Linked DNA regions of Lytechinus pictus. Each later gene encodes a partner of the first gene's protein in a complex. Links are inferred from orthologs where the notes say so. Each region holds a gene or a part of one and is shown in the gene's direction. Other genes may lie near its edges. The genes, in order: ribonuclease H2 subunit B-like and ribonuclease H2 subunit A-like.

Evidence for each region.
Region 2: the proteins of ribonuclease H2 subunit B-like (region 1) and ribonuclease H2 subunit A-like are in contact, whole or in part, in a crystal structure (PDB 3PUF), measured with the Homo sapiens proteins. The link is inferred for Lytechinus pictus from reciprocal best matches to the Homo sapiens genes RNASEH2B and RNASEH2A. Residues at the interface, in NP_078846.2 of Homo sapiens: His16, Phe18, Lys39, Asn42, Gly48, Ala49, Ile50, Val63, Lys64, Val65, Phe66, Lys67, His70, Phe74, Val79, His86, Phe87, Val183, Tyr211, Gly214, Leu215, Asp218, Tyr219; in NP_006388.2 of Homo sapiens: Val227, Phe228, Ile253, Trp254, Glu255, Ser284, His285, Tyr287, Phe288, Arg291, Gly292, Leu293, Glu294, Ser295, Ala296, Thr297, Ser298, Leu299.

Annotation. Positions count from the first base shown.
Region 1 is NC_087260.1:28,501,090-28,517,864, forward strand, and holds the start of ribonuclease H2 subunit B-like, read left to right. Parts: upstream 1-9,292; 5' UTR 9,293-9,409; coding exon 9,410-9,488; intron 9,489-11,802; coding exon 11,803-11,871; intron 11,872-12,838; coding exon 12,839-12,946; intron 12,947-14,896; coding exon 14,897-14,973; intron 14,974-15,704; coding exon 15,705-15,819; intron 15,820-16,251; coding exon 16,252-16,422; intron 16,423-16,775. Other genes in the region: major facilitator superfamily domain-containing protein 1-like, read right to left, coding at 818-930, 2,293-2,345, 8,633-8,819. UniProt on the Homo sapiens protein: Non catalytic subunit of RNase H2, an endonuclease that specifically degrades the RNA of RNA:DNA hybrids. Participates in DNA replication, possibly by mediating the removal of lagging-strand Okazaki fragment RNA primers during DNA replication.
Region 2 is NC_087256.1:17,234,359-17,251,133, reverse strand, and holds the start of ribonuclease H2 subunit A-like, read left to right. Parts: upstream 1-6,753; 5' UTR 6,754-6,804; coding exon 6,805-6,991; intron 6,992-16,775. UniProt on the Homo sapiens protein: Catalytic subunit of RNase HII, an endonuclease that specifically degrades the RNA of RNA:DNA hybrids. Participates in DNA replication, possibly by mediating the removal of lagging-strand Okazaki fragment RNA primers during DNA replication.

The DNA of each region.
Region 1 (16,775 bases):
AAAAAAACATAATTGAAAATAACATCATCATGTTTATCTTGGGGACTTACAACAGTATCACAACAGAATATTGTTCAATAATTGACATTTAAACATTTTAATTTCACCATATCCCTGATTTTAATAGATTCCTTCAATACCTCACTTTTACAGAAATTAATTTAGTCATTCATTCCAATTTATTTAATTCAATCACGTATTCATCCTTTAATCATAACACTAAATCCTTTATCAATTCATACATAACATTCTATCATTGACATTGTAGCAGTTTCAGACCTTGATTGATTATCGGTACATCATTTTCTGATATCAGTTTAATGAAGTATGCTGCAATTCCACATCACTCAATTTTGCTATTCATTAAATCATTCACTCGTTCATTCTTTCACTGAAGTTTTAGTTTTGAAACATTCATTGTTTTTAATTCATTGCATTGTTTCTTTCTTTCATCCAGCATTCATTTGCTCATCCTTCCATCTATAGATCTATCCACTAATCCCCTTCCTTTCATCGATCAATCAATCCATTAATCCATCCTTCCATCCATCCATCCATCCATCCATCCATCTATCCATCCACCCACCCATCCATCCATCCATCCATCCATCCTTCCTTCCATCCATCCATCCATCCATCTATCCATCCATCCATCCACCCATCCATCCATCCATCCTTCCTTCCATCAATCTATCCACCCATCCATCCATCCATCAATCTATCCTTCCATCCACTAATCCATCCATCCACCCATCCATCCATCCATCCATCAATCTATCCTTCCATCCACTAATCCATCCATCCATCCACTACTCACCTGACACCAAAGACTCTGTCCAAGAGGAAGCCTCCAAAGAAACAGAGAATAACATTTGGCCACGAGTACAGAGAGTAAAGCAGCATGAAACTGGCTGTGTCTTTGTGCATAACCTGCCAACACAAAAGTGTTTAATAAAGCTAATACATTTCTGTATGAAACAGTATTTTCAGTCGTAAATTAGAAACCAAAACAAATTTGTCGTTCATCACCCCCCCCCCCCCACACCCCCTTCCTCTTAACCACAATAAATAAACACATGCAAATTATTAACATCACAGTACCGGTATCTCATAAAATTCTGATTAGAAATATATGATTTACTTCAGCATTTGAACAATAATCTCTGCTTTCCAGGAAAAAAAAAAGGAAAATGACTCCATCAGAATACTCTGCAAATAGCACTTCTAGAATATTGCATGGCTATATGACTGTGATGAATATCAGAGAGCATGGATGAGTTCTTCTATGAGACAAGATAATTTTCTTCCATATCTGCATACACGCAAACCCATACAATACTTGTGTCCGTCTTATATTAAACCCATTAAAAAAACAAATCAAAGAGAGTTTTCATTAACAAACCTATTGATTATTTCATCATTTTGTAAATCAGCAAAAAATGGAGGCATTGTTTATATCATTGCCAATAAAAGAATAATCTATGATTTCCTTGGATCAGGAAATACATAACTTAGCAAAAATGTATTACTAGTACTTAACAGACAAGGTTGAACTGTATCATTATGAACACCTGCCAAGTACATGTACTCATTTCACATTCCATAAAGAATTTCTGGAGAAATATATCTATATTTCCTTGTCACCAAAAGTGAATAATCACAAATAGCAATAGCAGGAAGCAGGTGTATGGATTACAGGAAGAGATACATTCAAGGAAATGACTGGGTTCAAATGACAATAAGATCAAGAAAGATCACATGACCAACAAATATAATGGCAGGAGCATTCACGCATTAAAAATAAAATGCTGAAAAGAGATCGAAAAATATAAACGAGTTATGAGGGCAGAGTGATCAATTTCAATTCAAAGTCAATGATTTCTTTCTGCATGTAGAACCAATCAGAAACTTTTTTTATTCATACATTTAAGCATTGCATCGTGCATGTTTCACAGAATAATTGACATGCTTCGTCTGGGAAAATTTTGAACTTTTGTATTGATGAATTGTGCTGGTGATTTCATATGCTCACTATTCCCATTGTAAACCAAGTCTTAATACTGGATCTCCTACATGTACATTCCGCATTATGGGAGGGCTAAACGGGAAAAGAGGCCGAGTGGGATTTCTTCTGAAAGACATGACCAAAGAAAGATAACAATATTCCTTTAGACATCTTAACAGAAGAAGTCAATGTTCACATTTCATTATTTTCACAGCAGCTTCAGACAATGAGTAGGATTCCAGCTGGAAAAACTTTCAAATAAGTGCCTTATTAAAAGGAAAACTTACCTGTTTAATTTGATCTTGAAGAGCGGATGGATTGTCATAGCAAAAATAGCTCCCTGATAAGAAAACAAATACGGTAGATAAAAATGGAAATTGAGCACCGGTATCTAGTATTTTCAGGTGATTAATTTAAATAGTTTCTTCTAAAAAACATGTAAAAATGTATTTGTGACTAAGTATTACAAAACCAGTAAAATATATTCAGAAATTCATCATTACATTTTATTTGATGATAAATATTCTTAAGAGATTTTCAGATTTGAATGATGTACGATATACAGCAAATTACAATAAAGATGATCCTTACATGTAGGCCCTAATGGTTTTTACAGAAAGAATTTTGACCAGCTACCCTATAAAAATAAGTGATTGAAATTTGCCAGTATATTGAAAGCTATCTTTCCCAATATTTAATTCAAATACATGTAAATGCACATGTGACAGAAAGAGGATTCAAATTCAATTAAATTTTTATGGTGAGATATAAACCAAAAGATCCTAATGAACAAATGTGTACACTAAATAAATTCTTACACAGTAAGTAGAAACTAGGCATTATTGGTTAAAATTAATGAGATATGATACATGAAACCAAATAGCTATTAATCACCTCAATGAGTAACTACTACATAAATAGAAAAAGCAATAAATCATAATGTCAGGTTCAAAACCAATTCACACTTCAAAGGGTGAAACCATTTCTTGAACACGCCCCATTTGTGTAACATCGCCCAAATCTAATGAGAGCACACTTATGGTATAAACATGGTCATAGCTTTGAAAATATTCACCATATCCATACAAAGTATACTTTTTTGAAAAAGTATTCCAAAAATGGCATTTAAAATGAGGTAGGATGAACTGCTCACATTTTATGAGCGAAAATGTTCAATTTTTTAGCACCCCAAATGTACTTTATTTCAGACATCCATATTTGTTTTCTCTTTGCCCATACCATTAATTAGTTACGGTATCAGATTTGTATTGCCCATAAAATTCCCTTTCATATGATATATATCTTAAGGGGATTCAATTATTTCATCAAGGTAATTTTGATATGCAAATTTATGTTAATTTCAAATATCAAATACAGACATTTTTAATCAGTTTTTACCTTAAAATCATAATTAACTACCATAATTATTGTGTGATGTGTGCGGAGGTGTATTATAATATCTGTTATATTTAGCTGTAATCTGAGACCAAAATCAAAGGTCTCGCCCCTTGGAAACCAAAATTACACATGTTTAATACTAGCAATACACAATACCATAGAGTTGCATGTAATGTGTACTGCTTCCACTATCCCTCAAGAACCCATTTTAGTCATTATATCGAGCAAAATGACTCAAATTGATATGCATATAAACTTATACTATCACTCTTTATACAGCTTATACTCAGCTTTCAAATGACACCAATTTCATAATAATACATCTTCAATCAGCCGAAAAAAATCACATCATAAATTGTTCCTATGCGAGAATTTTTTGTGCTTTTTATGTAAGGAATTTTGGGGTTTTCTTAACTATTAATCGCTAATTACAATTAATTGAAAACAGTGTTAGATTATTATAAGTTTACTCACTTCAAGTTTTGAAATGAGATCAAAATTAAGTCTCTACTCCCCCTGTATACTAAAGTTATTCATGTTAAAAAAATGTGGCCATAGTGTATATACATGTATGTGGGCAGTCATAATTGCTTCCATGATCAATCTATGAAAAAACTACAGAAATTCTTCAAAGTTCTCACACACCATTTATGTAGGATTGTTAATTTGTCATTTACCTATTTTGTTTATTTCCTTTGACTTGTGTTTTCTTCAGGTGTTTTACATTTCTGTTCTGTCTAGACTTTAGTTCATTTGCATTTCTTTTCAGTACTGCCCTTGCAGTCTGGACTTAGGTTATTTGAGTTTAATGATATTCAGTTGTCATTCATTCATTCTACTCTGAATGCCTTTCCTGTGTTTCTCTTGTCATCTTCATTCCTTCTCTATTCTCTCTTCAGGTGTTCCACTCATTCCATCCCTCACCTGACTCCTTAGTTTCTACTTCCATTATTACATAATCACCAGACATCTTTGTCATCTCATCTCATTCCTTATTGGTTTATCTTATGAATTGGGTTCTTACATTTTAGTTCGATCCTTCCATTTTCTTTAGTTTGATTGGTTGCTATTTCTAATTTAAATATTTATGTAAATTATTCTGTGATCCAAAGTTAAGCTGAGGCAAAATAGCCCAGATATTAAAAAGTGTACAACCAGACTCCTTCGGTTTAAGTTCTCTTCATTTTGCGTCTGTTTCACTTATTCCCCCTTCAGCATGATTGATTGAGTTTGATTTAGAACTTCATTTATTTTCTACCTCCAAACATATAATTTTCTCAACCTTACAACTGGTAGCAGCGGTGTTTCGAACCTTATGCCTCGCTTATCTGTTCGCCACAAACTTTCAATCATATTTCGTCAACTTTATCGTCCTCATGTTCCTGTTGGAGAAACATTTAGCCCTTCATACATGTACTTCAGTTCAGCCGTTACTTCTTGCCTGATTGATGCTAGCCAGCAGCTCGCCTACAACTTCAACGTCAATGCTGTGGCTTGTCTAGTAGGATGATGCTACTACCAGCCAGTCTTCGCCTTTAGCTCTATACGTGAGTGGGTGAAAGCCTTGCCTGAGTACCAGCTCGGATCTTCGCCTATTGCTCTTCGTGAGTGGATGAACGTTCTGCCTGATTACCAGCCAACCTTCGCCTTTTTCTCAACGTGAGTAGATGAAAGTTCTGCCTGCGAGTCAGCCTCTTGCCTTTAACTACAACCATTGCCCGACTACATGGAGTGGATGATGTCGCTGCCTATGTTTCTTCATTCAGTCTCTTCGGGCTCAACAGTCTCCCACCTTTGCCTCATGATGCTTTCCAGCCTCTCGCCTTGCTTCTCTTCGTCGAGTGGATGATGCTGCATTTTGGTCTTCATGTTGCTTTGTCCCTCTATCTTCGCTCGATGCACGACTCCTTCCAGCCTCTCGCCTGTTACTCTGTCGCCTACGCATCTAGAGTTGATGACGCTCTGCTTTGATCTTCGAAGCCAGCCGCCACCTTTTGCTCTTCAGTTGCTCCAGCCCATGAGTGGATGATGCTGTTCCCCTGGTCTTCATACATACAGTGAAAACTTTTCGCCCCCTAAGAAGGTCCGATATTCAACAACTTGATCTTGATGTCTCCATTTTACCACCAGACTACATTCTTCTCTCAAACTCAAACTTTATTTGGAACTTTTGGACAATTTATTTCCCTGATGGTGAGAACACTAACAAATCTCTAAATCTGAAAATAATGTGAACTAAGTGCAATATATGAAATCGTAAAACTAAAGATTATGACAACTAAATTTTTGAAATATTTTATTTGTATACCTTAATGCTCAAAACTATTTCAATTTTAATCACTGTATATTTATTAAAGTTTTATCAATTATATTGCACAAAGTCAGACTTAGTTCAATGTTCAATTTAAATCATTTCTTATTTTTTACTATTGAAGTTTCATCATTGTAATTTTACAAATTATACAAAATAAGTCTTTTTTATTTGTATTACTCAGTAATTTCTTTTTCCAACATTCAGTTAAAATTCCTAGATTTTTGATACCCCTAGTTTAATGTCTTTTTTAAAGTAAAGTCAAAGATTTTCACAGATATACTTTGTCATATAATTTCAGAAAATATGGCTTTATATAAATTCAAATGTTTGATTTTTCATAATTTCTGGTAATTAAGTTATTTGCTGAACGTCATATGTTAAATTTTTGTAAAGTTCAGTAGTATTTTGTCTTGCACTTTTCAATGTTCAATATTCCTTTGAGCTACCATAATTGTTTTTATCTATTTGTCTAGTGGTGCTCTCATAAGTTTTTCATTTTTTTTGTAAGTCCAGGAGATACATTTTTCCAGTTGGCAAGACATGCATAAATTTAACAAAAACAAATCTTTAATAATTTGAAAAAAATGTATATATATATTCAAGATTATAACATTTTTTTTTCTTTTCGGAAATCAAGACAAAAATTTTCAGTTTTTTGTTTTTTTCTAATTGATACGGTATTTAATTTCATGGCATGCAAGTATAAGATATACATTGAAATTATTTGCATGTTCATTTTCCACTGAAGTTACTCATATGATGCCAAAAAGGAAAAGTTCAAAATTCTGATAAAATATATATATTTTTTTTTTATTTTTCCATCCTCTCCTGGTCTTCACATTTATTATAAAATTGAATTATGTCATGGTTACGTTACTTCTTTTTAAATTCTTTTATGTAAATAATGTTAGATGTTCAACTTGTCAAATTCTGGTTTTGCAGCTTTATTTTATATATAATTTTACTTTTTGAAAATTGAGGACAATTTTTTGGAAGGAGAAAGTTTATGTAGGATTGTTAATTTGTCATTTACCTATTTTGTTTATTTCCTTTGACTTGTGTTTTCTTCAGGTGTTTTACATTTCTGTTCTGTCTAGACTTTAGTTCATTTGCATTTCTTTTCAGTACTGCCCTTGCAGTCTGGACTTAGGTTATTTGAGTTTAATGATATTCAGTTGTCATTCATTCATTCTACTCTGAATGCCTTTCCTGTGTTTCTCTTGTCATCTTCATTCCTTCTCTATTCTCTCTTCAGGTGTTCCACTCATTCCATCCCTCACCTGACTCCTTAGTTTCTACTTCCATTATTACATAATCACCAGACATCTTTGTCATCTCATCTCATTCCTTATTGGTTTATCTTATGAATTGGGTTCTTACATTTTAGTTCGATCCTTCCATTTTCTTTAGTTTGATTGGTTGCTATTTCTAATTTAAATATTTATGTAAATTATTCTGTGATCCAAAGTTAAGCTGAGGCAAAATAGCCCAGATATTAAAAAGTGTACAACCAGACTCCTTCGGTTTAAGTTCTCTTCATTTTGCGTCTGTTTCACTTATTCCCCCTTCAGCATGATTGATTGAGTTTGATTTAGAACTTCATTTATTTTCTACCTCCAAACATATAATTTTCTCAACCTTACAATAGTTTTAGTGGACAAAAATATTCTTATATAGACCAAATATGCAGCTTTTCTATTAAAAACATGAATGAAGAGATTTGTGATGTGAATGAATTAAATTTTTGATACCACATTCACAATACCTAAGAAATTGAGAGAATTAAGACTTGGAAATTTGTAAGATTAAAAAAATGTCAACTAAAATCCTTTCATCAATTCAAAGGTCAATTCTGGCCTCTGGGATCAATTCACAAAAATGGTGACGAACCAACATTTATTACCCAACACATGAACATGTTGTCTTGTCTTGTAAATACTGCACTTGAACACCTCAAAGAGGCTATAGACGTGCAGGCCATTCATGCAATCGCTGCCGCTATATACTTCTTTTAGTTAGCATGTTTTTGCTCAGCTGTTTCTTATGCATGTTTATACCTTTATACCTTTATACCGCATCTACTGGAAAAATACAGTTGTTCCTGCAGTCAAGTTTCCAGGTCTATCTTGTTGTCTTCCTATCTTGTTGTCTTCCTAGCTTGTTGTCTTCCTAGCTTGGATAAGTTCGAAAACTTTATGACTCAATCCAAAATATAGGCCTAAGCTGAATCAATCAATCTTTCTTTACCCATCATTATTCAGATAAAAAATGCATTTTGATGTTAAAAATTGGAATGTTTTTGTCATGTCAATGGTCTGATCACTCACCAACTCCTAGTCCTAGGCTAAAGAAAGGTTTTCAATTGTCTGGACGGTGATTGGAATTTTCTATGACAACAGTTGCGTTTTAAAACCATAAGTGATTTTTCTTATAAATATAGTTCCTTTAAAAAATCATAGGATTTGACGATAATCATTTTGTCAAAACATTACTGTTTTTTTTCCAAGTATTATTTTTCATGATTTTATCCATTCTATATAGAGTGGAGGCAGGATGCAGGAAATGGTTTTCCAAACCTTGTTTAAGATCGACTACAAGTACAAGTCTACATGCAATTATTTTTTTAATGTGCCATTGACACAAACAGTGCAGTGCCAGGCAACTCTTAGAGTTGGAGAGTAGGCTAACCTCACCTTAGGCTTAGTCTAGAGAATTGTTTAGTTTTACTCTCCAACTCCAGCAGAGTCCAGCACCAGGCTCTAATAATTAGCTCCTTAACTTCTTTAAAAAAAAACAACGTTAAACTTAAACTACAATGTAAGTTGACGGAATATCAGTTAAGACTTTCTCAGCTCATTTTAATGACAGTCACCCTAGAATGAAGATAAAGATATATTGCCTCAGTCTATCCTTACCAAAACTTAAGAAACAAATAAAAATAAGAATGAGGTATCTATGCAGGGCCCGTCTCGGATCACAACAAACTGTGGCTCCACAGCCTGAGAGTTCCACATCCTCATCATCATCCTGAATTTGATTCCTGTCCGGTCGTCCACTCAGCAGCGGTGCATTTTCATCATGATTCTGATCGTTGTTTTCCATCCTTACTTGATCCTGAACGAAGATTTTTAGTTTATTAGTGGACAAAAGTCAAAAGTTTTGAGTTTCCTTTTCAGCTAGCCGCGGATAGCATCTTCAAACTTCACAACATCAGTCGAGTCGGCTCATAGCTTAATGCAAATTGGACACAAATGCAAAGATATACCACAAAAGCAGCCGAGGCGAGGGGTCGTCACGTGAAATAACAACCGTGACAATATATTTTCAGCAATATTGGGGTTATCTATGCTAACTTTGGAAAGTAATAGAAACAAATGTATTCATATCATTCTTTGTTATATAATCCTATTCCGTAAATACAAATTATAATGCAGTCCCTGGCATTCATAAAATCTTGTGATTTTTATTTTTAACAGCTCTCGTAACTTTGGAAATTCAACAACGATTGATGACATGACTAAAACTTTTATTTGAAATCCAATCATTAACCTGGAATTGAGGTTCAACGAAAAGTTAGAAACGGCGCGCCACATTTGCTCGACCCGCGATCGCGAACGAGGAGTTGACAAAAACTTGAAAAAGTTAGTTCTTTTTGCAGAAATAAATCTCAGTTAAGGTTAGATTAATAAATCATGGCACCAAAGTCAAAGAAACAGAAAGGAAAGGGGAGTACCAAATGTGATAGGGATCAGTGGGTGTGTATTACTCCAGGTAAGAGTGAAATTTCAACTTTGTTCTGTCATAATCAGATAATTTCATGATGCTTAGTCCCACATGCTTGTAATTGTGTCATGACACTGACTAAAAGAGTTTCTGAATGATCCTGACGTCGACGCGAAGCTGAAGCCGATGATGACGAAGACAAAAGGAGGGAAGAGAAGAAAAAGAAGGAGAAAGAGGGAGGAGACGAGAGTAAAACATTGTCATTGACAGACTAGGTCTAGGAGGTGGAGAGTCATGCATATTACTGAAGAAAACATTGTCAATGTCATTCACTCATTCAGTCATTGTCATTCTCAATCTGACGTCAGTCATTGTTTTGACTTTGTTTGACTTTTTTTTTTTTAAGGGAGGAATTCTGGAAAATGAATAGTATAATGGTGGCCTTCAAGTCTTCGCACCTAACAATTTGAGTTAAGATTTAACATGAATTACTTTTTCTTTCACAAAATCTTTCAGTTAATAATGTTCCTTATAATATTAAGTGTACCAAATATCTCATAAAAATTTGAAAGAAATATAGGATTTTCTTGGAAAAAAACCTCAGGCTGTCATTTTCAGATTGAAAATGGTACCCCATGTCTTGGCACCCATTCACTTTGCACACGATTCGGGGAATTTGATGAGAAAGGCTGCATTTTGAGGCCGTCACATGAAATGCCCAAACTTCATTATTTTTCCACCATTTTGAGTCAGATTTTTTAATGAATATCTGTCTATGTATTGCATGGGTAAAGTCTGTGTTCTTTGCGTATCTTCTTTTACTAGAATCGCGCAGATACGCATGTGCGCAGACAAGGGGGACTGCGCAGACTGGGGGGAACTTTCCATAGATCTAGGCCTAGACTAGTGAGTAGAAGACGCTTGGTGCAGAAGAAAGTGAGGTCGGATGGGGGAGAAGAAAAAGAAGTCTCCAATTCAGGAAATATCTCCCATTATTGGAGACTGGGTATACAAAAGGAAATACACTGTAGAATCTAATTAAAAAAACACGCGCATCATATGCATCTGAAAATAATTTCAAACGCTTAAAACTTTGCGACATCTTTCCAAAGGGAACTTGAATTTTTAAAATGATGAAAAATGGTCAAAAATGCATTTTTAAAGTCTCTATATTCTCAGAATAGCCCATCAGTGCTTTTGTTGTTTTATCAAAGTTCTCATAGAAAACACACTTTCGGTAATGCGATACCATTTTCAAGTGACCAAAATATTTCACATGCGAAGAGGGGTCCGATGGGAAGCTGATATTGTAAAAAATAACAATGATTTCGGCAAAATTTTTACAGGTTTATATTTTGTAGGTATTTTTGTATTTATGGTAAAAGTTTGGTGAATTTTATGAGAATAATATATTTGATATGATTAAATTCATGAAAAGTGTCTGGTAATACAATCCACTACCATACATCACTAGAGGCACATGGCCAATATTGGAGACTGTCTCCCGAGAGAGAGATTATCTCCAATATCAGAGACTTTTGTAAAGAATTGGGCTATCCATTTTCAGAGACAGTCTCCAGTTTGGGAGACCAATTTCCTTTGTTTACATTTGCTTCAAAAGGATTTCCTTGGCGGCAAATAAAAATGTGATAAGCAGATTCCTCATGAAAAATTACCTCTTTTCACCGTCTACTTTTGTTTTGATAAGGATTTTTGTTGTCATCCACACACAAAACAAATGGGCTTCTGACCTTAGTGAGACAAAATTTTGGGTGGAAAAAATTATGCTTTTGTTGGTGTTGTTTCTTTTGTTCTTTTGCAAAGCAAGTCTCTAATATGGGAGATTATCTCCCACATTGGAGTCTCCCATATTGGCTGTACATGTATCAATCAATCTGATAGGATAATTTAAGTCTGGGAACAACATTTAACGTCACCATCTGAAAGACCCGACCAGAGCTCAAATCTGTCAATTTTTAATGGATTACAGGCACATATCAAAGTGGTCAGTTATCTTCTTTTTTTTTAAATGTAGTCTTGCCGTGAAGCCAAGATCTTGGGCCTGTTGCATAAAACTTTTGCCATAAAAAACTCTGGCAAACAAAATTACACAATTGACACTTAACACAAAAACTTTCAATATGCAACAGGCCCCCATTTTCTGTTTTTACTTTTGTGTAGTTTTATGTCTAATTGGAAATGCCAAGATTTTCAATATGACATCCCTATGTTTCTGTTTCATTGATATATCATACATGTATTTAATTTTAAATAATCAAATTGCTGTGATAGTATACTGAAAAACCTCTCACACAAACTAATGATTTGGTGTTTTTTTTACCTTCCCTTTCCATTCTTTCAGAATCTTCACTTGATAGTATTGATGGTTGCCCAGATCCAACTTTTGTAAAGCTGAGGCACCCTAAGACAGGTATAAAAATTAAATTGTATATATTTAATACCTTTTTATTTATCATGTATTTTTTTTTCTTTCCTAAAGCATGTTTTCATTGACAAGTTCCTGTGATGAAGCAGAATTCCTGCAATTTCATTGGTCAAGAGCAAATTTGTCATGAATTTCTGTGACTTTGTATTGTTGCAGACTTTTACGAGCAAACATTTTTTTTAAATCGCAAAAATAAACAAGGGAATTCTGAATATATAAGGGAAAACACTTCAAACAATCATATTTTATAGGGAAATGGTCATCATTATGCACCATTAAGTTGATATACGCACCACTGCCTTTATATTTAACATCTGGTGCTACACCATATTATGCCTGATCATCGAACTGTTAAATATTTCCATTCAAGCAGAGAGATCCATTTATTTTCATATGAATTTTTGTATTATTCTTGCTTGTTTGTATTAGTCTTGGTAGTTTTCTCCCAGAATAATTAAAGTCTGATTGGTTAATATTAAAGATAAACAATGTTTATTTATGTTGTCTTGATTTTAATATTTAAAGTAAAGGGTCTGTATTAATCAAACTTAGATTTTTGGTAGATCCTTATTCACTGTTGTATTATCTGTCTGGTAGTATACAGTGAGTCAAAAGTGCATTAGTGACCACCTCTCTAAAGCAGCCACCTGCCTTTTTTAGTGACTTCTAAAACAAATTTTCTTGGGGGCAATTTTTGTGTTTAAGAACCTGTCTATAGCAGTCAAGTGCATATGTGTTTCCCTAGGATGGTTACTATAGACAGTTTTCATGTACTTATTATGTACTATGTAAATATTGGTATTATATGGTGGTGAATGTGGAATATAAATGAAATAATAATAAATAAAATTTTTAAAATCAAATAAGATCTTAAAAATAGCATGGACAAGCAGTTCTAGGCATTCTCAGCACCGATTATGAAATGGCTTTATAATGTTTTTTCCACCTGCAGAGAATGGAGCGATGTTTCTATTCAGCAGTGACGGAACGGGTGTTTATGAGGTGATGAGATTCAAACGAGACTTTGGATCATGGTTCATTAATGATTCAGTCCAACAAGGTGAAGTATTTCAAGAATGATGATTCAATCCTAAGTGTATTGATTACAGGTGTTAACTTGAGAGCCTCAAGCCCAAGGGCCGGTTTCATAAAAAATAATTAATTTGCAATAATAGTTTAAAGCTACTGATTCAATCCATCAATTTGATTGGCTGAAAGTAAACCTGTTAAATGGTGCATTTATTATTGTGACAAATCTTTATAAAACAGGACCCAAGAACCTGTTACATAAATCTTAGCAATTGATTCTACTAGGCCCGTTTTGAAAGTCCATTTTTGATGCACGTGTACACGGCGTGTTTTTCGGTCGTGTACACGTTGTAAACACTCTGAGAGCGAGTTGTTTTCATGTCGACACGGACCTGCATCAACATGTCATTAAAAAGGGGGTCTATATAGCCTAAGTCACGGTTTTAAAGCTTACCAGAGAAGTTTGAAGTATCAATCCACAAAAATTGGTGCAAATTAAAAGTTTACTCAGCTTAGCAGCGCATTAAATTAATAAAGAATGCAAAAGAAAATCAGTGCAGGGCCCTGCTAGCGCCGACGCTCGTTGGATGCGCATTTTGTATACTGTACCGTACGTGCATGCACAGATCGCTGCAGAATTAAGTGTAACTGAAGTTATCGATTGATTTTCATTATTTTGTTGCCAATTTGAGGAGCGTTTGTTTGTAGGCTTGTAGCACATGTGTACGAGCGTATAACACGTAAGTTGTCGCAATGATCGCTGTTGCAATTGGTGATTCTCAAATTGGCTATGAGTGTGATTGAGCAACACTTTCGAGACCGGAGGCGGAGCAGACCCATTTCGTGGTACAAAAACTTGAGTCTCCAGAATGTATGTGGATTAAATCGGCGATTTTGGAAGTGAACTCACTCTAGATTAATTGAAATATATTGACATATTAGTAATTAGAATATGTGCAGTGTCTGAGAACTATGATTTAATGTGAGGCTGTGAGCTTGTTCACTGATTTTGTAGTCCCATGCAAGCTTTATGCAGATGCTACCGTGTACACGGTGATGGAATTTAGTACACGTGCACTGACTTGACCGTGCGTGTACACGTGTACACGTGTACCCGAAACGGGCCTAGATTCTACATGTATAGTTGAATTGTATAATTGATTCTGCATAGCTATTAAATAGCTTTGTGTGAAAAGCTTTGCATTAGTTCAGTAATTATATTTGCATCCGTATGATTTCTTTTGTTCTCTTTTTCTTTCCTGTAATACATATATGTACGCATATCAGAATAAGTCTACTATACTTTTTTCATTTCCAAGGGGGATCCACACTTAACAAGCTTTGCTTTTTAGTGGATCCCCCTCATTTCCATTTATGCTCTATATTATACTGTTTTTTTCTGGGTTTTTTTACGAAGTAAGAATGCCCTTCTGTAAAATTGTACTTGATTTGTATTACTTTATATTACTTTGTATTATGTTGTGAATGGAAATGAAATAAAAAGAATTGAAAAAAAAAAGAATTGAATTAATGAAATCAAACATGAAAGTCATCTTTGAGATCAATCACTTAGCTTTGTGTATTAGATCCAGGGCCCAGTTGCAGAAAGAGTTGCATTTAAATACAACTTAAAAGAAATCAATCCCAATTACAGACTTGCGATTGGTTGGAATTCAAGCTGCATTTGATTTTGTAAGTTTTGTTTGATTGCATCTCTTTTTGCTCAGGATGCTGATATAAATTGCAAAGCATACAGGTACTAGTTTGACGATTGGAATAATAAAATATATCCACTTTTCAAATTTAGTTCAAGATTTAATAATGTTTTATAGTGTTTAAGCTCACCCCTTTCAAATGATTGAACTTTCAAGTGCTCATTTTATTTTTTGTCTCCAATGCAGGTACTTATTGCAGTGTACACTAGAAAATATGCTAATTTTCAAGCTTTTTATTTCAATTGTGTTTGTTTGTTTTTTGACAGATGGATCATTAGAAGTCATAACTCCTGTTGACCCGGTATTTTTAGCTCTGCCATACTTGGTGAAATCAAATCAAGAGGTTTGTCATATTTCAATCTTAGACCTATTTTTAGTCTCTCATTTTATTAAAAAAATTATTCCCAATGCCAGTTGCGGATAGTGGGTGAGGGGTAGGAAAATCTTGAGACTTTTTTTCTTGTCAAATTCCTGTAGATGCCTTTGAATGGATGAATCGGTTCTCAGGGCCTAAATTTAAAAATAATGTCCCTTTCATATAAGTTTTTGACGATTTGGAAATCAGCGCCTTGTGGGCAGTTGGATGTGATATTGCTATTTTAAGTGTTGGGAGGTTCTGACCAGTGCAAACCTGCGTTGTAACAAAGACCATTTCAGGGAACTTAAAGGAAAAACAAACCAGCAGCACTACCTCAACTACTCAAACTGAGCTGTGTAGTCTTGTTATGTAGGCCCACTTGAAAGATGCTATTTCACTATTCAGTACTTTACTTTCATACCACGGTATTTATGTTGCCAAGTAGCAAAACAAGTACATTTCCTCTCAAAAATGATTTAGTTTCTCTATGCAAATAAAGTTATAAGCTAATTTATTCACTTTATTTGTAATAATTTTCTCAAAAGGTGTATTTTAAGACAAGTAATTTATTTATAACACACAGTCAATGAAAAACTATAAATAGTGTTGGCCAGTTTGCTCCCGCTTTAAATGAAATGTATCGGGCCAAGAGATGTTAGTTTTGTTTGTTTATAGTTGCTTACAAGAGTTTGACCATTTCTTCCCTTGTTCTGCAGAGGAATAAATACATGACCTTAGACCAGATTGTCCTTGATGATGATTACCCACAATGCATCAAGTTGCTGCATTGCTCTGGCATGTCCAACATAGAAAGAGTAGCGGAGGTCAAAGGTTAGTATGACTTCGAGTTATTTTAAGCAAAAGTAATGAACTGGCAAAAATAGTAATTATTGTATCTTTTGGGATTTCATGTAGGCTACACACAGGTAATTAATTTAATTGTGAATGTGATGTAGGGGAGAAATAAACCCTCCATTTGCTACTATACCCAAAATTACTAAAGTGCCTTTATTTTTCTTCAAATTCTGATAGTCATATATTGCCTGGAAGTTAAAAAGCTATCATCATCATTTTCATCACCATCATCATTGTCATTAGCATAGTCACCATTATCAGCATCATTATCATCAGTGGGCAATATAATACATTTTTACCATGCAAAAAAGTTTACACAAACATGACCAGCTTATTGAAAAAACACTCATATTCCAACTCATCTTAAATTTGAGCCAATTAGACGTGTATTCTGTCATTTTTATTCAGGAAGTGGTGATGTGAGAGCCTTCCGATACGACAAATCCAAGACACTGGATTGGTTGAAGGACAAAGTGGAGCAGACAGCAGCACGCCTAGGACAGACAGATATACACGTCACAAGTGGAGCACAGTCAACAACGTTTGTACGTAGCAGCAAAGAGCAAGGTGCAACAGGAGGTGAGTCAAGAGATGCCGGGGTCCCATCTTACAAAGAGTTACGATTGATCCGATCAACCACAATTATGGAAAGCCAGCAAATGCATGTTTATTCAAAATGTTTTCTACATGATGATGTACAATCATACATTCATTGTAGTTTAGACAATTCAGTTTGCTCCTCTCTGTTTACAAAGGACATTGCGCAAATTTCCTGTAGAAAAAATTATGACAATTATGTATTTCCATATAATTGAGGTTGATCGGATCAATCGTAACTCTTTAAAAGGCGGGACCCAAATCTTAAAGCCAATCCAAACCAACAGCCTTAAATGGCGCCATCTCAAGTCTTCAAATACTAATATCTAGCCAGG
Region 2 (16,775 bases), on another chromosome or scaffold:
CTGACGACTCATTGTTAATTTGGTTTGAAGTTGAAGCCGAGTCCTGGCCGAGTCAGTCCGAAGCTTGCATGCATTCAGCGCGATATAGCTCGAGAGTCAGCTGGCTCGCGATCGCTCGTGTACGTACGTACATGTACTGTAGCGCCGATGTAGAGCATGCGCTAAGAGGGCAAGAGAGGGGTTTCCCCAGCTAGCTCCTTCGTCAATTAGTAGCGCATGCGCACAGTAAAGTTTAGAAAGTAAGATGGCAGCCCCCATCGAACAGGACCGTTGGCGATAAATTGTCGGTAAATTGGCGCTGATTTGACATGTTTCCACTGTTTTTTTGACTGGTATGACATTTTGTATGAGAGATATTTGGCCGATAATTGCAATTTATCGAAAAATTATTGAAATTTACTGTAATATCGTTTTCATTTTCAAAACAACCACTTGCCCAATCGGGCAATTGACTTTGAGAAATGCTTGCCCGCACGTCATTTTCACTTGCCCCGGGCAAGCGGGCAAGTGGTTTTGTCACGCCCTGCCTAAATATATTTACCCATGACAAGAATTACTTACATTGTAAATCTATTTTCAATTTTAGATTGGCAGTCACGCAGGTTTGCCAATCACTACACAAGCTCTGCTTGAAATATGAAAAAATAAAATACAATTTACATGTACACTTTACAACTAGCTAACTGAATAAAGCACTGCCATTGTGACAAAAACAACAACTACATACATACATGTACATTTCTTGTCTTCGACTTTTAATAGGAGTTTGAAACAATGGTAGGCCTACAATGCAAAAAAGGGCAAAGTCAGCACGGAGATTCATTATTGACAAATCTTACATTGGCCACATCATACAGCACATGTATTCTTGTGTTTGATTCCTTTGTATTCAAAGAAGACGAATTACATGTAGCTCTGCCATAGTCACAGATTCTTACTAATTTGGTTAATGAGACATGAAGTAAAAGTCAATCTTGACAATCATAAAACTGCCTGTATGAACATTCATAACAGCCCAGGGGATATACTTGATACTAGGATGGTAATGCCAATTGCTATTTTCAAGGTTGAATACTGTGCTTGGGGTAGCCTCTTACAAACAAAGAAGAAAATTCTTCAAAACAGCATCCAGGCCTTGCATTGGACAGAATGGATCCATTCAATTTTTTTCATTGAAAAAAAGGGGTCGCAGAATCAAGATTTGATCAGATGGAACATGCTTCCAGATATTGTTATGAAGAAAAGATTTGACATAAATAATAACACAAAATTTTGTTTTACATCAGTTTTCTTTCAAAACGTTTCAGTAAAAAATTATGGATTGTCACACTATGTCCTTGACCTCTATCTATGGCTCTAACAAAAGTAACATTAGAGGAGTTCCATGACGCTGGCTGGAGTCATTCAGGGACTGATTGCATGAAAGGGTCTTTGCAAGAACTGTCTTTCGTATCGCCCATTTATTATTATGCGCCATGTGAGACGCATTTTCAATAAATTACCTGCAAACACATTTTATTCGACCAATTAACTAAGTTAGTAAGTAAACAACATCTTTGTTTATGAAATAAGATTAAGGTTTATCGTTAATCAGAACTGCAATGCATTATGGGATTGAAAAGGGGGCCGTTGCACACACGCACTAGCGGACAGTCCGCAGACCTAGCTAACGGCCTCCTTTGGCTTTGCAATCCCAGGCCATAATGCATTGCGATTCTGATTAGCGATATATAATATTGAATATGTGATATCTCATGAAATTTATTTAAAAGCCATTTAACAAATTTTATTTATTTATCGTAAACTGCAGAAATATCCAGCATACGCATATCATAAACTAAGATGGGCGACACGCCGACACAAGAGACAGACGTGACACTGACAGACCTGGCTTGGAAAGATCAGTCTGGACCTGTCCTGGCCTGGTCTATGCCTGGAGAGTTCATGAATTTTAATTAAACTCGAACTACACCACACCAGGCATGCACAATGACACTGCAGTCTGCACTGCAGTGTAGACTCCACAATTTTAAGACACAGGCAATGTAATGTAAATACAAAGTTTTTGGCTGTCGAATCGAGTACAGACGTGGCGAACGACCAACTCCAAACAAGCCGCAGGCTTCGGCCGGGTAGGCGAGTCAGCATCAAGCCGACTATACCGCGTACAACAGCAGCACGGACGTGACATGGGCCTGTGTCGAGCGGTGCCCTTCGCCTTCAGAAGCCGTGTACAAATTGCATGCAAAAATGCAGAGAGCGCATAGACTCACGAAAATGTACGGGCTCATTTGTAACGTATTTTCGACATCAATTCGGGAAAAATCGACACCAAAATGCAACTTACCAATAATAAGTGTCAATGTCAATGGATATACATTCCTCTCGCCTAAGAAAACAGTTCTGAAACTCGATAATCATGCTTGTTTCTCTCAAAAGAACACCACTGTTTTACAGGAGGACTCTACCCGAAGCCGACATAATTGCTTAGTTGCTTTCAAGTCGTATGTATTTATGGATCAGTAGTACTCGTACATACTGCAGCATCTTAAAGTATTTTTGAGTAACAAACAACTGGGTATAAAGACTAGTTAAAAATTTAAAGGGATAGTCGACGATTCGTATTTTTTCTCAGCCGAGTCTAAATCATGTTTTTTTTATCCGGGGTTTTGATATGTGCATTGTGCAATGTAACAATTTTATATATTTAGAGGAATTACCGCTGATCATCACATCGAACAAGCCCTAACGTTAAAATTCATGACAACAGTCTGTAAGTACAGGCGAAATTCAGCCCCCAAAATGTAAAATAGCCAAACTTATTGGTGACAGATCGATAGATTCAATGCAAAAGTAATTTTGATTAAGATAAAGCGAAATAATGAGGCCATGCACCAGCACCACCACAACCACCACCACTAAGATATTGGTACAGAACCAAAGGGCATGCAGAGATATGCCAGGGCGGGACTCGGTGGAGGGGGGAGGAGGGAGGCGGGGGGGGGGGGGAGGAAGTGATTCTCTTTGATACCTATATACACATATCAATAACCTTATTTTTGTTCTTTTGTACTAGGCTATTTCAGTCTGATGCAGTTATGCCTATAAAATATATATTTTAGTGCTACTTGGATTCCGCGCACAAACTCGCATACATTATTTTATGCAAAAAAAAAATCATGATTAATTTTTCGATCAATCAAAAGCAGAAACTTGTTGATACTGGGAAACAACAGAAAAAACATATAGCTCATTAAGTGCCATATTGTAACTAAATCCCAAAATAAAAAGAATTTGTTTCCTACATTGAGAAATCTAATTTTTCATATATTTTTTAGCAAAATCACTGACAATATTCGAGAAGTTAACAAAAAGCAATAATGGATAAACTTGACTAAAAATGAGTATTTAATGTTGTATAGACAGTTATAGTCTTGCTTATTTCACATATCCCAATCCATCTTTGTGTAAAATAATAATAACAATACTTTGATTACAGGGGCAGATATAGGATTTCGTTATGAACAACCCCACCCTCCCCCCCCCCCCCCTCCAAAAAAAAGAAAAAAATCTTTACTTCTAATCAATGATTATTTATGTCAGGAAAAAAATGAACAAAAAAAGGAGGTTTTCACTACAAAATGGAGGTCATTTTGTTCCAGGAAAAAGTTGACAAGCAAAAAAAAAACACAAAATAAGATTAAAATAAAAAAGGTCCTCACTTGCGTTTGCACGACATATTCCCCTAAAAAATATGTTTATGTCTCTCAAGGAGAGGGGGGGGGGGTTACTGGTCGGATGTGCCCCTAGCTGGATCCGTCACAGTTTGATTATTATTCCCCGCTGCTTTGAAATAAATTATTTTTAAATACTATATCACGGTTTCCGCTGTAAGATTCAGTCTAGAAAGTCCGTTTAGAATAAAACACAAAAAAGAATCAAGGAAAATGTATCCAAAAGATAGGCCTATGTCGTGAAACATACCCTTATTGGAGGCAGACAGACAGACAGACAGATAGATAGATAGATAGATAGATAGATAGATAGATAGATAGATATATAGATAGATAGATAGATAGATAGATAGATAGATAGATAGATAGATAGATAGATAGATAGATAGATAGATAGATAGATAGATAGATAGATAGATAGATAGATAGATGGATGGATGGATGGATGGATGGATGGATGGATGGATGGATGGATGGATGGATGGATGGATGGATGGATGGATGGATGGATGGATGGATGGATGGATGGATGGATGGATGGATGGATGGATGGATGGATGGATGGATATATATATAGATAGATAGATAGATTGGCTATTCTGTTGTCTGACTTGCATTATGGGGTGTGAATATGAACGGAACAAATAGAAATGAGCAAAAATTAACGTTTTTTAATATTAAAATCACTCAATGTCACAGAGTAAAGTATTATCTATCGTGATAGTACATTAAAGAATAGAAATGAAAGCGGGAACTGAGGTGAACTTATTCAGTAAAAGAAAAAGAATGGAGGGGCTTGCCAAAAATAAGCCATGCTAATTAGGGGAGGCAAGCCCCTGTAACTTAGTTTGAAAACGTACAAACAATTACAAGTTAGTATACAATTAAGGGTGACGGGAGACAATCTAAAATCACTATACAAAATATCAAAAAGTGACAATGAATGAGTGACAAAAATTTAAAGAAAATTGTGATAATATCAATAACATTGATTATAATGATAGGTATAGACTAACTAATTTTTTCTCATTTCCCTTGTTATTCAATGGTGATATTTCTTTTCTGTGCATGTCACCTATTTTTATGGGATTTCTAGAGATATATTCAATGACTAACGTTTATCAAAGAATATTTTGGTGGAATTTTTAGATAAATGTAAATATTCAGAACAATATACATCATAGCCATCTTTTGAAATCATTTGAAATTGCCTTGTGATAAATAAAAATATGAAGTACTTGTTATATTCATGTAAAATAACTGCAAAATGCAAATCATGAACCATGGTAAGAAAAACTTGACAATTTTCACTTGAAGTAAAACAATAACCTTTTCCCAAGTGCTATTTTTAGAGGTTAAAAAATATTTCAACCTAAGTCAGACGAACGAGCATGATGAGCTCACTGAATTTTATTTAAAAATAAATGTGTGTGCTTTGTCGTTATCTGGCAGTTACCATAGTAACAATCGGACACATGTCATAATGCAAAGACAGTCGTCAGATTATGACCTCCTGTCCTATATACGACAAGTTGTCCTATATACGACAAATATTGATGAAACACCTCCCAGAAAATTATAATGATTAAGATCTATTTGCGCCCCCGTCGTTTCGCTCTCTCGCACTTTAAAAATCAATGCATTTTTTTTACCTAACCAAAGGTTCAGTTCATTATTAATATGCTTTGAAAAAGGAGTGGCACTCTTAAAGGGTAGGTGTGTGATTTTTCAAGTAGTGATTAAAAAGGCGAACAAAAAAAAAAAAGAAAAGAAAAGATGAAGAAATGTAAGAAAAAGAGAGCTTGGTCGTATAAGTCCTTGTTGCCCCTGCATGTTACTCAATTTGAATGACGTACTTCATATTCAGGTTGGCTTCATAGAGATATATACTAATTAGATGTATACTAATTAGTATACATCTCTATGGTTGGCTTACCCTCCCCCTCAAACACCTTGTTGCATTTATGTCTAAACATGATTTTATACAACAAAATACCGTCAGAAAACACTTTTTAGTCTGAGGAAAAGAATATTGCGATTTTGAGATTATTTTGTTTATCACCCTTTGTTTAATTTTATGTTTTTTTTTATTTGTCTTTTGGAGTTTGCAACAAAGTATTTTGTTTGATATACAAAGATTTTTTATCACTATATAATTTTTGTAAAGATTAATTTTTGACACACTCCACTTTGTGCAGAATGTTTGCGTTTTTTGGTGGTTTTTTTTTTACTCAAAAACTAGTTTTCTTTTATTCATTTAAAAAATCAATATGAGACCCCCCCCCCCCAAAAAAAAAGCCCATCCCTCTGCAAATCAGTGACCATTCTGAAGGGATAAGTAAATAAATGATGCGTTCGTCGAGATTTTTCAGCAATGAATAGAATTTTCACAAGATGGCGCCCTTATGATTTGTACATGTACTTTGCTTCACAATAGTACAAACAAAATATGGACAAATTATCACACTGGGAAGCAGATTTTTGTTTTAAAGTATTCTTTTATTGCTTCTTCCATTGAATACAAACATAAACTGACTTCATAAGTTTCATAACTTCCTAAAATTTATGATACATCATAATAACTTCACGAATAATACCGGGCAAGGTACCAGTAAGTACTTCATGAACTATTCATTTTCCAATTCACTGAAATAATATGATACAAAAGAAAAAAGAAAATAAACACACCCGCACACATCCCACACGCAAAAAAATTATAAAATAAATCTTTGTCCTTGAGGTCCCCTCCTTCCCAACCCACCCTCATAAATTCGAATAAAATCATGCAATGTATTTTTTAAAACCTGAACCCGGATGCCGGGCCCGGATGAAATTGACAAACTCGCTTTTTATGTTATATGTTTTTTCTGCATGTTTTAAAAATGTCATCATTGTTATTTTTCTATTCACTTAAATCAGCTTAATCCAAAGGTGAAATATCTCCCCTCCCCATATCCCTCCCCACTTACCACCTATCCCTCATCAATGCAAAGTGCATTGACTTTTTCAAACCGGAAACAGAGCTAGAGCAGAGCTAAAGCGCGCGGCAAAGTTAAATAATTGAGTAATTATGGAGGAACAAAACGACACTTCCGAAATTCCTATGGAGAGTCAAGATACAGCTGCTGTTATAGATCTGACGGAGTTTGATAAGAACAATAGTGGAAATGCCTTTATTCAATCTGAAATACCCCAGATTTGCAAAGATGAGCCTTGTTGTTTTGGAATCGACGAAGCTGGCAGAGGTCCCGTGCTTGGTAAGTACCCTACGGTACGCCACGGCGCACTTACCCCGGCCCAGGCCGGTAGACTGGCGCTAACCTCACACGGCTGCTCAGTGACAGTCAGACTAGCCTGGAGGCGTCTGGGGAGTGAAAGACTTATACTGTACGTATGGTCACTCCCCTAACGCCTGGCACTGTGTCCTATACTATCCTACACACCGAGGGAAAATGCAACTATAGAAATGCGCCAAACTGCTAGTTATGTTTAGATTCTAGCTTTAAAATTAAAACTTATGTACATGGGTAAAAATATTGGTTGGCAACGTTTGGCAAAAAATAAGTGTTGATGGATTTGAAATGACGAATAAATTAATATGAATAAGAAAAGTAGAAGAGAGTTCACTTACACTTGTTGACATCGCCATCTTTGAATCCTTTTAATTGCAACCTAGTTACGTGACGCGTATAGAGGGCGGCAAAATCATGAGCGGTGCTAGATTAAAAAGTGCTAAAATGTCCCGCTTCAACCACTGAACTAGAAATACGTGGAAGCCGTGTACACCTAAGCAAAACATCGCTGGCGAACTCGATAAGTCACATGACCGCCGCCATTTTGCTAGGTCAATTGTTCGAGAACGCGCCGCGCCGTAGAAGGCAAAATGCAATATGTTTTCTCTATGTATTTCTAGTTCAGTGGTTGAAGCGGGACATTTTAGCACTTTTTAATCTAGCACCGCTCATGATTTTGCCGCCCTCTATACGCGTCACGTAACTAGGTTGCAATTAAAAGGATTCAAAGATGGCGATGTCAACAAGTGTAAGTGAACTCTCTTCTACTTTTCTTATTCATATTAATTTATTTGTCATTTCAAATCCATCAACACTTATTTTTTGCCAAACGTTGCCAACCAATATTTTTACCCATGTACATAAGTTTTAAAGCTAGAATCTAAACATAACTAGCAGTTTGGTTTTAGGTGTTAGGGGATTAGTAGTAATTAAGCACACAACATCACATGACCCATCGGCGGGAGGAACAAACACAAGACCAGTCAGCTGTACAACACACATACCCAGCACACACACTACACACGCCATTCATCATTCCATACCCAACCCCCGGTCGTAGCGGACCTGTTATAAGAGTGCCTGGATAGAATACAAGAATAAGGTAAGGCTTTCTCCCGGTGTGAAGTTTATATGTGTATAGCGAGTGTATTATTATTTATGTTATCGGCCCACCTCTTTACTGGCGACGAGGATTAAAGCGATTTTTATTGTATTTTCGGCAAAACATTTTCTTTACTTCGCCACAGCCAACGCCGTTGCAGAATCTGCGTTGGCCGTGGCCGAATATAAAAAAGCCGCCGCCATCTTGAAAATTTTAGGCTTTTTATTAATTTGAGCTGTTTGACTCTGTTTCGTCCATAATATTAAATAAAACAAAAAGTAACATATTATCTTAGTTTGAGATTTAATTTTTTGGTGGAAAAAGTTTGATTTTTAGTTCCGTAAATATACTCTATTTTTTTACCGATCGGCACTGCCGTGCTGGCCTTGAAGGAATTCAGCGGCTAGCTCGACAGGAGCTAATCGGATTTTTTTGGACAAAACATTATACGTTGTACTGTTAGGGTAAATATCCACTCATTTTGTTGACCATATATTTAAAATTTCCCTCGTTAGGATATATTTTTGTGGCCACCGAGTGTGATTAACTTTGATGAAATTTTGATTGCGTTTGACTGTGTTTACTGATGTGGTGTGAATGGATTGCTGAATATTATTGATGTTGTGAGTTGATTATTTTATTACAAGCCTGAATTTGCTTTTCTCCTTTGACCGCCGCGCTGCTGCTGCTGCTGCTGCTGCTGTTAGTATTTTTTTGTAGTAAATATATTTCTGGGTGTTTTTTGGAGAAAACACCAGAAATTTGCTGCTGCTGCTGCTGCTGCTGTTAATTATTAGGAATTTATTATTTTTGGTCACGCGTCTCAGGAGATAAGGAAATTCAGTCTTGTATTAATTAGTTTGTTGTTGCTGCTGCTGCTGTATTGAATATTTTGCTGCTGTTGCTGTGCTGTTGTATTGTTGCTGCTGCTGCTGTATTGAATATTTTGTTGTTTTATTGCTGCTGCCGTTGTGTAATTGAATTGTTGCTGCTGCTGTTGTATAATATATTTTGTTGCTGGTGCTGCCGTTGAGTGAATGCTGTGAGCTGTGCTGCTGACATTTGTATTAAATTCATATTCAATCAATTAATTATAAATTGTATAATTAAATAAATTTTGTATATATTTAGATAAATTGTACTTGTAAATATTAACTTTTGTTCAAAAAACAGAAAAAAAATAAATAAATAATAAGAATTTATTTATTTGAAATTATTTCTATATATTTTTCATATCTTTCTTTGAACAAGTGAGCGTTCGATTGTTTGCATTTTTTCTTTTCTCTCCTAAGAATTAGGAATTTTATTTTTTAGGCAAGGTAGCCTCTGGATTTTAATTTGATTACATTCTCAGGATATTGTGAGGTTAGTTCTGTTAATTCTTTTTCATTTTTTTTCAAAAAGTTAATTTTGTCCCAGATTTATTTTGATTTTATCCGCAAGACAAAGTCTTCAGGATAATTTTTGGTTAATTACAGTTCAATTTTGGAATTTAATTTTTGTTACTGATTAATTTCTACATCAAGATGGCGAGCAACATTCCAAGAATCAAAATCAACTTTTGTTCGTCTGAGGAATTGATGAGTCTGCCCGGAGTGGGTATGGCCACCGCCAACCGCATTCTACACGCGAGGGAGGCGGCTGACCTTACTCCGGATACATTCATGTCAATACCTCACATACCGAAGGCGGAACTATTAGTTTACGCCTTTGACTATGAGCCAACAACAACGGCTCATAATGTGGACCGCAGAGAAGTGCGCTCTGAAGGAGACGAGCCTTCTACGAGCGTTCCAATAATTCCATCAAAGGAGCCCCCCGTGAGCCAGGCGTTTGAGGCTTGGCCACAGCACACCCGTGCACATAGCACTCGGGGTGCTGTAGGCCAGTCTTCTCAGACACAGGACGGGGAGGCCCCCTTATTTTTCACAGGGGGGAGGCCAGGTGGCGCTTTTACTCAGCAGCCTTCGGCCTCTCCAGAAGATAGGGCTAAGTCCCTCTGGGCAAATCAATTTTCAGGATGGAACGATGGCCTGTTCCCACCGCAGGGTCCCCACCAAGTTACCCCACCAGGACCCCAGTTCCAATGCGGTCCTCGTGCCCAGGTAGCTACCCCAGCAGGACCCCAGTTCCAATTTGGTCCTCATGCCCAAGTAGATTTGCATGGTCAGGCTCCCGGTACTCAGGGTGGCCGACCAGCAATGACCAACCAAACTACCCAGACACCTCCACATAGCTTTCCACAGGCCGCTCCAAACTTCTCGCAAGCACAGTATGATGAAATGTATGGCGTGATGTTTAGGATGATGCAGATGATGCCATTCGGAGGAATTGGACAACCAGCTCCTCCATACTGCAACCCTGCTGCCGCCTACGGTGGGTATTGCCCACCATGGGCTGGAGGCAGATATCCGCCACACTACCCTAACACTGTGGCCCCGCAAACCTCTCCCCAAGGACCATGTGACTTGCAACATGGGGGTAGCAACCCTGTGTATCAAGGCGCTGGACCCCAAAGAGATGGACATGGAGGCCCAGTATACAGTGGAAATAGAAACACCACAAGGCCATCAGCAAGTCCTGGATACTTGGGGCTGCCAATAAGAAATCAGCCGCCCCGCGTCACCAGACTTACTTCGGCCTCAAGACCTGTGGTACCAGAGTATGACGACAGAAGGCCCCCTTCTAGACCAACCTCTTTGCCGAAGACCATTTCGTTCGACGGCAAGGGAAGTTGGGCGGCCTTCTATTCAAAGTTCCAACTTTACACCGAAAGACATGGCATGTCTGATGCAGACAAGAAATATCAGCTGTGTCTGGCGTTGGAGGCCGAAGCCAGTAAGTTCATGGCCCTCATCCAGGAGAGCAATCCAAATATCGCCTTCTCTGACTTGGTTACCAAGTTGGAGAAGCGGTTCGCTCTCCAGGAGGAGCCGGAAGTTACTAGGATGCAATTTCAATCGGCTTTTCAAAGCTCGGATGAAGACATCATCAAATGGGCAGATAGGCTTATGACCCTTGCAGGTCAGGCCTTCGTAGGCCTACCTGACAAGTTCGTCCAAGAACTTGTAGTGGCAAGGTTCTGCCAAGGTGCCCAAGACAAAGATGCAGGGCATCATGTCCTGACTTCTCGGCCTGGGACATTAGATGAAGCCATGACCAAGTACAAATGGTTTCAGTTTACCCAGAAGACCATGCAGAAGCATGGCCCTAGGCTGAGAAACGAAGTAAGGCAGCTCTCTGTAGGAGAAGATAAGAATGACCTCAGGGTACAAGAGTCGTCTCCTCCGGAAGCTGCCACCAAAGGAAATTCTAGCCTTGAGGCTAGAATCAGTGCTCTGGAGGCTCAGAATGCAATGTGGGCCTCCAAGATGGATTCGATGGTTGCTGCAATCACGGATCTGTCTCGGAGTACTAAAGAACTTTTGTCGGTGTCAAGAGGCCAGCCGAGTTACTCCTCCGGCCGTGCCCCTGTCACACCTGAAAGACCAAAATATACCTCCGGCCGAGCTCCGGGTACATCAGACAGGCCGAGGTATACCTCTAATAGAACGCCGGATCGGTCAGAAGGAGGCAGAAGACCATCTTCGGGCCTTCCACCAACCGATCGGCAGCGAAACTTCGCAGGCTGCTTCAACTGTGGGGAAGAAGGCCATTTCAGTAGGGCCTGCCCCAGAGGGAGATCGCCTGCTCAGAACAGACAACTTAGGGCTGTCACCTTCGAGGAGGAGGGAAATGGACAGGGATCGGAGGAGATGGGGAATCCCCGATCCGATTACAGATCCCCACCATCTCCATTCCATTAAAGGACAGCCTCATGCCACAAGACCATGGTAGCTCACGGGCACCGGACTCACAAGCAAGTCCAGGGAGCCCAAAATTCTCTGAGGTAATAGGTGTTCCTTGGAGGAATCCACCATGGCCACCAGACATTCCTGGTGAGGTTAAAGATCAAGATATTGAAGTAGTCATTTGTAGAATTATGTCTACTTCAACATTGAGTGTTGGGTTGACAGTTGGCAAAGAGCCCATTACATCTGTTTTGGACACTGCGGCAGCTGTCACCATTATATCAGATAGGCTATTCAAACGCCTCCAGCCTCGGCCGCCCATCCTTAAGCGTGTAATCCTTAAGGGGGCTGGCCGAGACATGACAATGGACGGCATGGTGGTAGGGCCTATCAATATCAAGCTGGGTGCCCAAATACTCAGCGAGAAGATTTATGTAGCTCCGATAGCAGATGAGATGTTGTTTGGCGTTGACTTGTTACGAAAACACAATGCCAATATTAGCATCCCAAATGCTATCTTAACTATGAATGGTGAAGACCTACCAATCATACAAAGAGAAGATCCATAAAACAAGGTGATATGATTGGGAAGGCTTATAAGTCTTGATTGTAGGACCTGACGTAGAACCCTCAGAATATGTCCCATTGTGGATACTCATGAATCAGGTCTATACTCTTCATCTTCTGGATCCCTGGAGCCGCTCTATTGAGGGGCTGGCCCCAGGGGAACAGGAGTTGAGAAGGTTTCTACTTAAAAAGAAATAGATTGGTACACCTTGTCGATTGATTAGACAAAGATGTGCCATTAAGTCAAAGACAAAGGGTCCCAAATGAGGCTGTTGAATCTTTTCCTGTAATGTGCATGGAAACATCCTTCAACAAAGCCAATTCATTTGAGATCCGAATAGTTGACCCAGCTGAGGTGGCAGAGGAGCCGCCTTCTGACGATTTAGTCAAGATCATGCGGAACCAATTCCTCGAGCCCCCCTGCAGGTGGTTAACATACAAGAAAGAGCCGGCTGAAGAGACTCTGTTTCTCCTCCCGCCAGAGGGAAAGTTTTTTGTGGACAAACAGGGAACTCTTCTACCATTACAGAGAAGGAGTCATCTTGATGGAGAAGGATGAGCGTGAGGTCATGATGATTTCTGAATCACTACGACATTACATCATCCAGCTTAGTCATGATCCTCCTTCAGCAGGGCATGCTGGGATCGGTAGCTCTCAGTAATATACCGATACGGCATGTCGGAAGACACTCATCTGCATATAGCCAGGTGTGCAACTTGTAAAACAAGAAAGCGACCCGTTCTGGGAGGCATCCTATGAAACGTTTTCATGAGAGCGCCCCCTTGGAATGTGTCCATCTTGAATTCAGTATCGATCCTGGTTATGGCAGATTAAAGCAAGGGAGCTCTATTGCCTCAAATAATGGGGCAATGCTACTCCCTCGCACCTGTCTCTGTCTTTTACCTTCATTGTAAGGCTATTTATTTTATATACAAAAGTTGTATTTTATATGTGTTTATTATGCTTTATATATGTAATACGGAAAATAGACGCCTATGATTTACAATTCTTATTGAGTTATGCTTTTTGTTGAAATTGGAAAATTAGATCAGATAAGTAATAATATATATATATGTATGTATGTATCGATTTAAATATTTGCTTACTTTTTTACTTAGATACATAAACAAGGCAGAGACAAGGTAAGAATATGTTTTATGATTGATAGTGATGTACAATGTATATATTGATGTATTTATGTTATATCTATGTCATGAACAAATAAGAAAAAATAAGAAAAGAAAAAAGATCACAAAGAAAAGAAAAAAAAAGATCTCAAAAGAAAATAAAAAGATTACAGAAGAAAAGAAAAAGAAAAAAGATCACAGACAAAAAAAATGAAGGAGAAAAGAAAAAGAAAACAAAAGAAGAAAAGAAAGAAAAAAGATCAAAGAATACGAAAAAAGGAAAGAAAAAGATATGATCAAAAAAAAAAAAGGAAAAACAAATGTACGTTGATGTATATTTTATGGTTTTATGTTTAGGGTTACCTTATGTTAAGTATGTCAAGTTATGCTAAGTTATATAGAAAATGGGCCACCCAATTTTTTTAGGGTGGGGGGAAGTATGGTGTTAGGGGATTAGTAGTAATTAAGCACACAACATCACATGACCCATCGGCGGGAGGAACAAACACAAGACCAGTCAGCTGTACAACACACATACCCAGCACACACACTACACACGCCATTCATCATTCCATACCCAACCCCCGGTCGTAGCGGACCTGTTATAAGAGTGCCTGGATAGAATACAAGAATAAGGTAAGGCTTTCTCCCGGTGTGAAGTTTATATGTGTATAGCGAGTGTATTATTATTTATGTTATCGGCCCACCTCTTTAGCGCATTTCTATAGTTGCATTTTCCCTCGGTGTGTAGGATAGTATAGGACACAGTGCCAGGCGTTAGGGGAGTGACCATACGTACAGTATAAGTCTTTCACTCCCCAGATGCCTCCAGGCTAAGTCAGACCTCAGGCCCAAACTAACTAAAGCCTTGGCCCTAAGCCTTTGGCTTAGGCAAAGTCGGAATAGATATGGTATGCATGGTCATGAACTATGGTAGTTGATTGTATTACCAAACACTTTTCATGAATAAGATAAGATAAGATTCATTGATTTTATTTATAGTGTATTATACACGCTTAAAACAGTAGAGACTAGAGGCGCACGGCCAATATTTGGAGACTGTCTCCAATGTGGGAGATTATGTCCAATATCAGAGACTTTTGTAAAGAATTTGGGTATCCAATTTCAGAGACAGTCTCCAGTTTTGGAGTCCAATTTCCTTTGTTTACATTTGCTGCAAAAGGATTACCTTGGCGGCAAATAAAAATGTGATAAGCAGATTCCTCATGAAAAATTACCCCTTTTCACCGTCTACTTTAAAAATTCACCGTCTACTTTTATTTTGTTAAGGAATTTTGTTGTCAATCACACACAAAACAAATGGGCTTCTGACCTCAGTGAGACAAAATTTTGGGTGGAAAAAATCATACTTTTGTTGGTGTTGTTTCTTTTGTCCTTTTGCAAAGCAAGTCTCCAATGTGGGAGATTGTCTCCCCTATTGGAGAGAGTCTCCCATATTGGCCGTGCGCCTCTACTGTAAAAAGCCGAAACAGTTCACAGACTGATTTCCATTGGGGCCGTGTGGAATATAATATATAGTTGACATAGTAAACATTTTAAAACCAGTGTTTAACGAACAATATATATGAACAAAATATGTTAACCTAAACAGAAGCATCAATGAAATATTACAAAGGAATCATTGAAAGGAGAAGAAAAAAGGAAGAGGAAGAATGAAAAGGGAGAAGGAGAAGAAAAAGACAATGGAGAAGATAACAGAAGAAGAAAAAAGAATAATAATGATAATAAGAAGAAGACGAAGAAATACCATTCTCAAAAACGTCAATAACATACAACATGAAATATCTATCGGTAATTCGAACAAAGCAGTGCATAGATGGTAATAGTAAATGTGAACATGAAAAAGTAAAATGTCAAAGTAAATTCATGTTTCTAAAATGGACAATCGAGCACAAGAAAATGAATACATGATTTATCGTTTAAAGCTTAACACATAAAAATGACTGGAAAATTTATGATAACTAAACATGCACTGAACATAATTATAAAGCATTAAAAACTTGGTTAATACTGAAGCTTGCCATATATAAAGCAAAACATATGAAATGATTGGAAAATAATACATGTACTGGGAACAGTTAATATAAATTGTCTGTTGATGTTTGATAAAAACAATTAAACAGAATAATAGTCATTGTGATCCACATTACAAAGATAATCTCTTAAGACCTGCCTTGAAATTGTGTTTCGTTTGTGCCACTTGAATATTTGTGGGCAATGAGTTCCACATACTGGCGCCTCTGTACATAAACATGCACTTTGCAGATTCAGTCTTTATTTGCATTATTTCCAAATTGAGATTCCCACTTCTTGTGTTATGTGATCTTTCTTTAAGGGAAAATCTATTGATTATGTATGCAGGGGCTAAGTTATTGAGTATGTTAAACATCATATCAAACACATTATTCTCATGAAAACCTTTGGTCTTTTGGAAGGATATTGCAAACCCTTTGCAAAGTTTTGAGCGTATGAAATCATTTTCTGACGCGTATGGTGCGCGTGTTCGGTAATACAATCACTAACTAGATTGATTTTTTAAAACCCGGATTATTCTGTAAAAGTTATATTTCACAGCAAGATGATCTTAGCTCAGTTAGCTGTAACTTTAATTACTAGATCTAAACATTGACTCAAGGGCGACAGTATGTACATGTAGATTATAATTAGATCTCATTTGTAGACCATGTAGACAGGAATAACAATTTCTGACATGATCGTGAGACTACAATCATCTCTAGCCTTGAGGACTCCATGATGATATTTTTTAATATTTTGACATATACTTCTTCATCATGGAGCCTTGAAACTCTTTCCATACATGCATAAGCGAGACCTCCACACCCGGATGGATTTCCCTAGGAAATCCATATTCACCGGGTGAAATCGGTTTATAAGTGTGAATTTAATTGATCTTTGAACCTCCAAATGCCTAATGCGTATGAAGGGATAAAAATTATTTCACTATGAATGGCAAAAATGAGAGGTTTCTTACCAGACCGATTTCATGTAGATCCCTTGATCCGTTTGTCAACAAAGCAAATACGATAGGCCTGACCCTTGAACCGCTTCGTTATGACGTACCTTCTATTAGTGATGTTACAAATGCCGTTTTGAAGAACAATTTATACATAAAAATTAT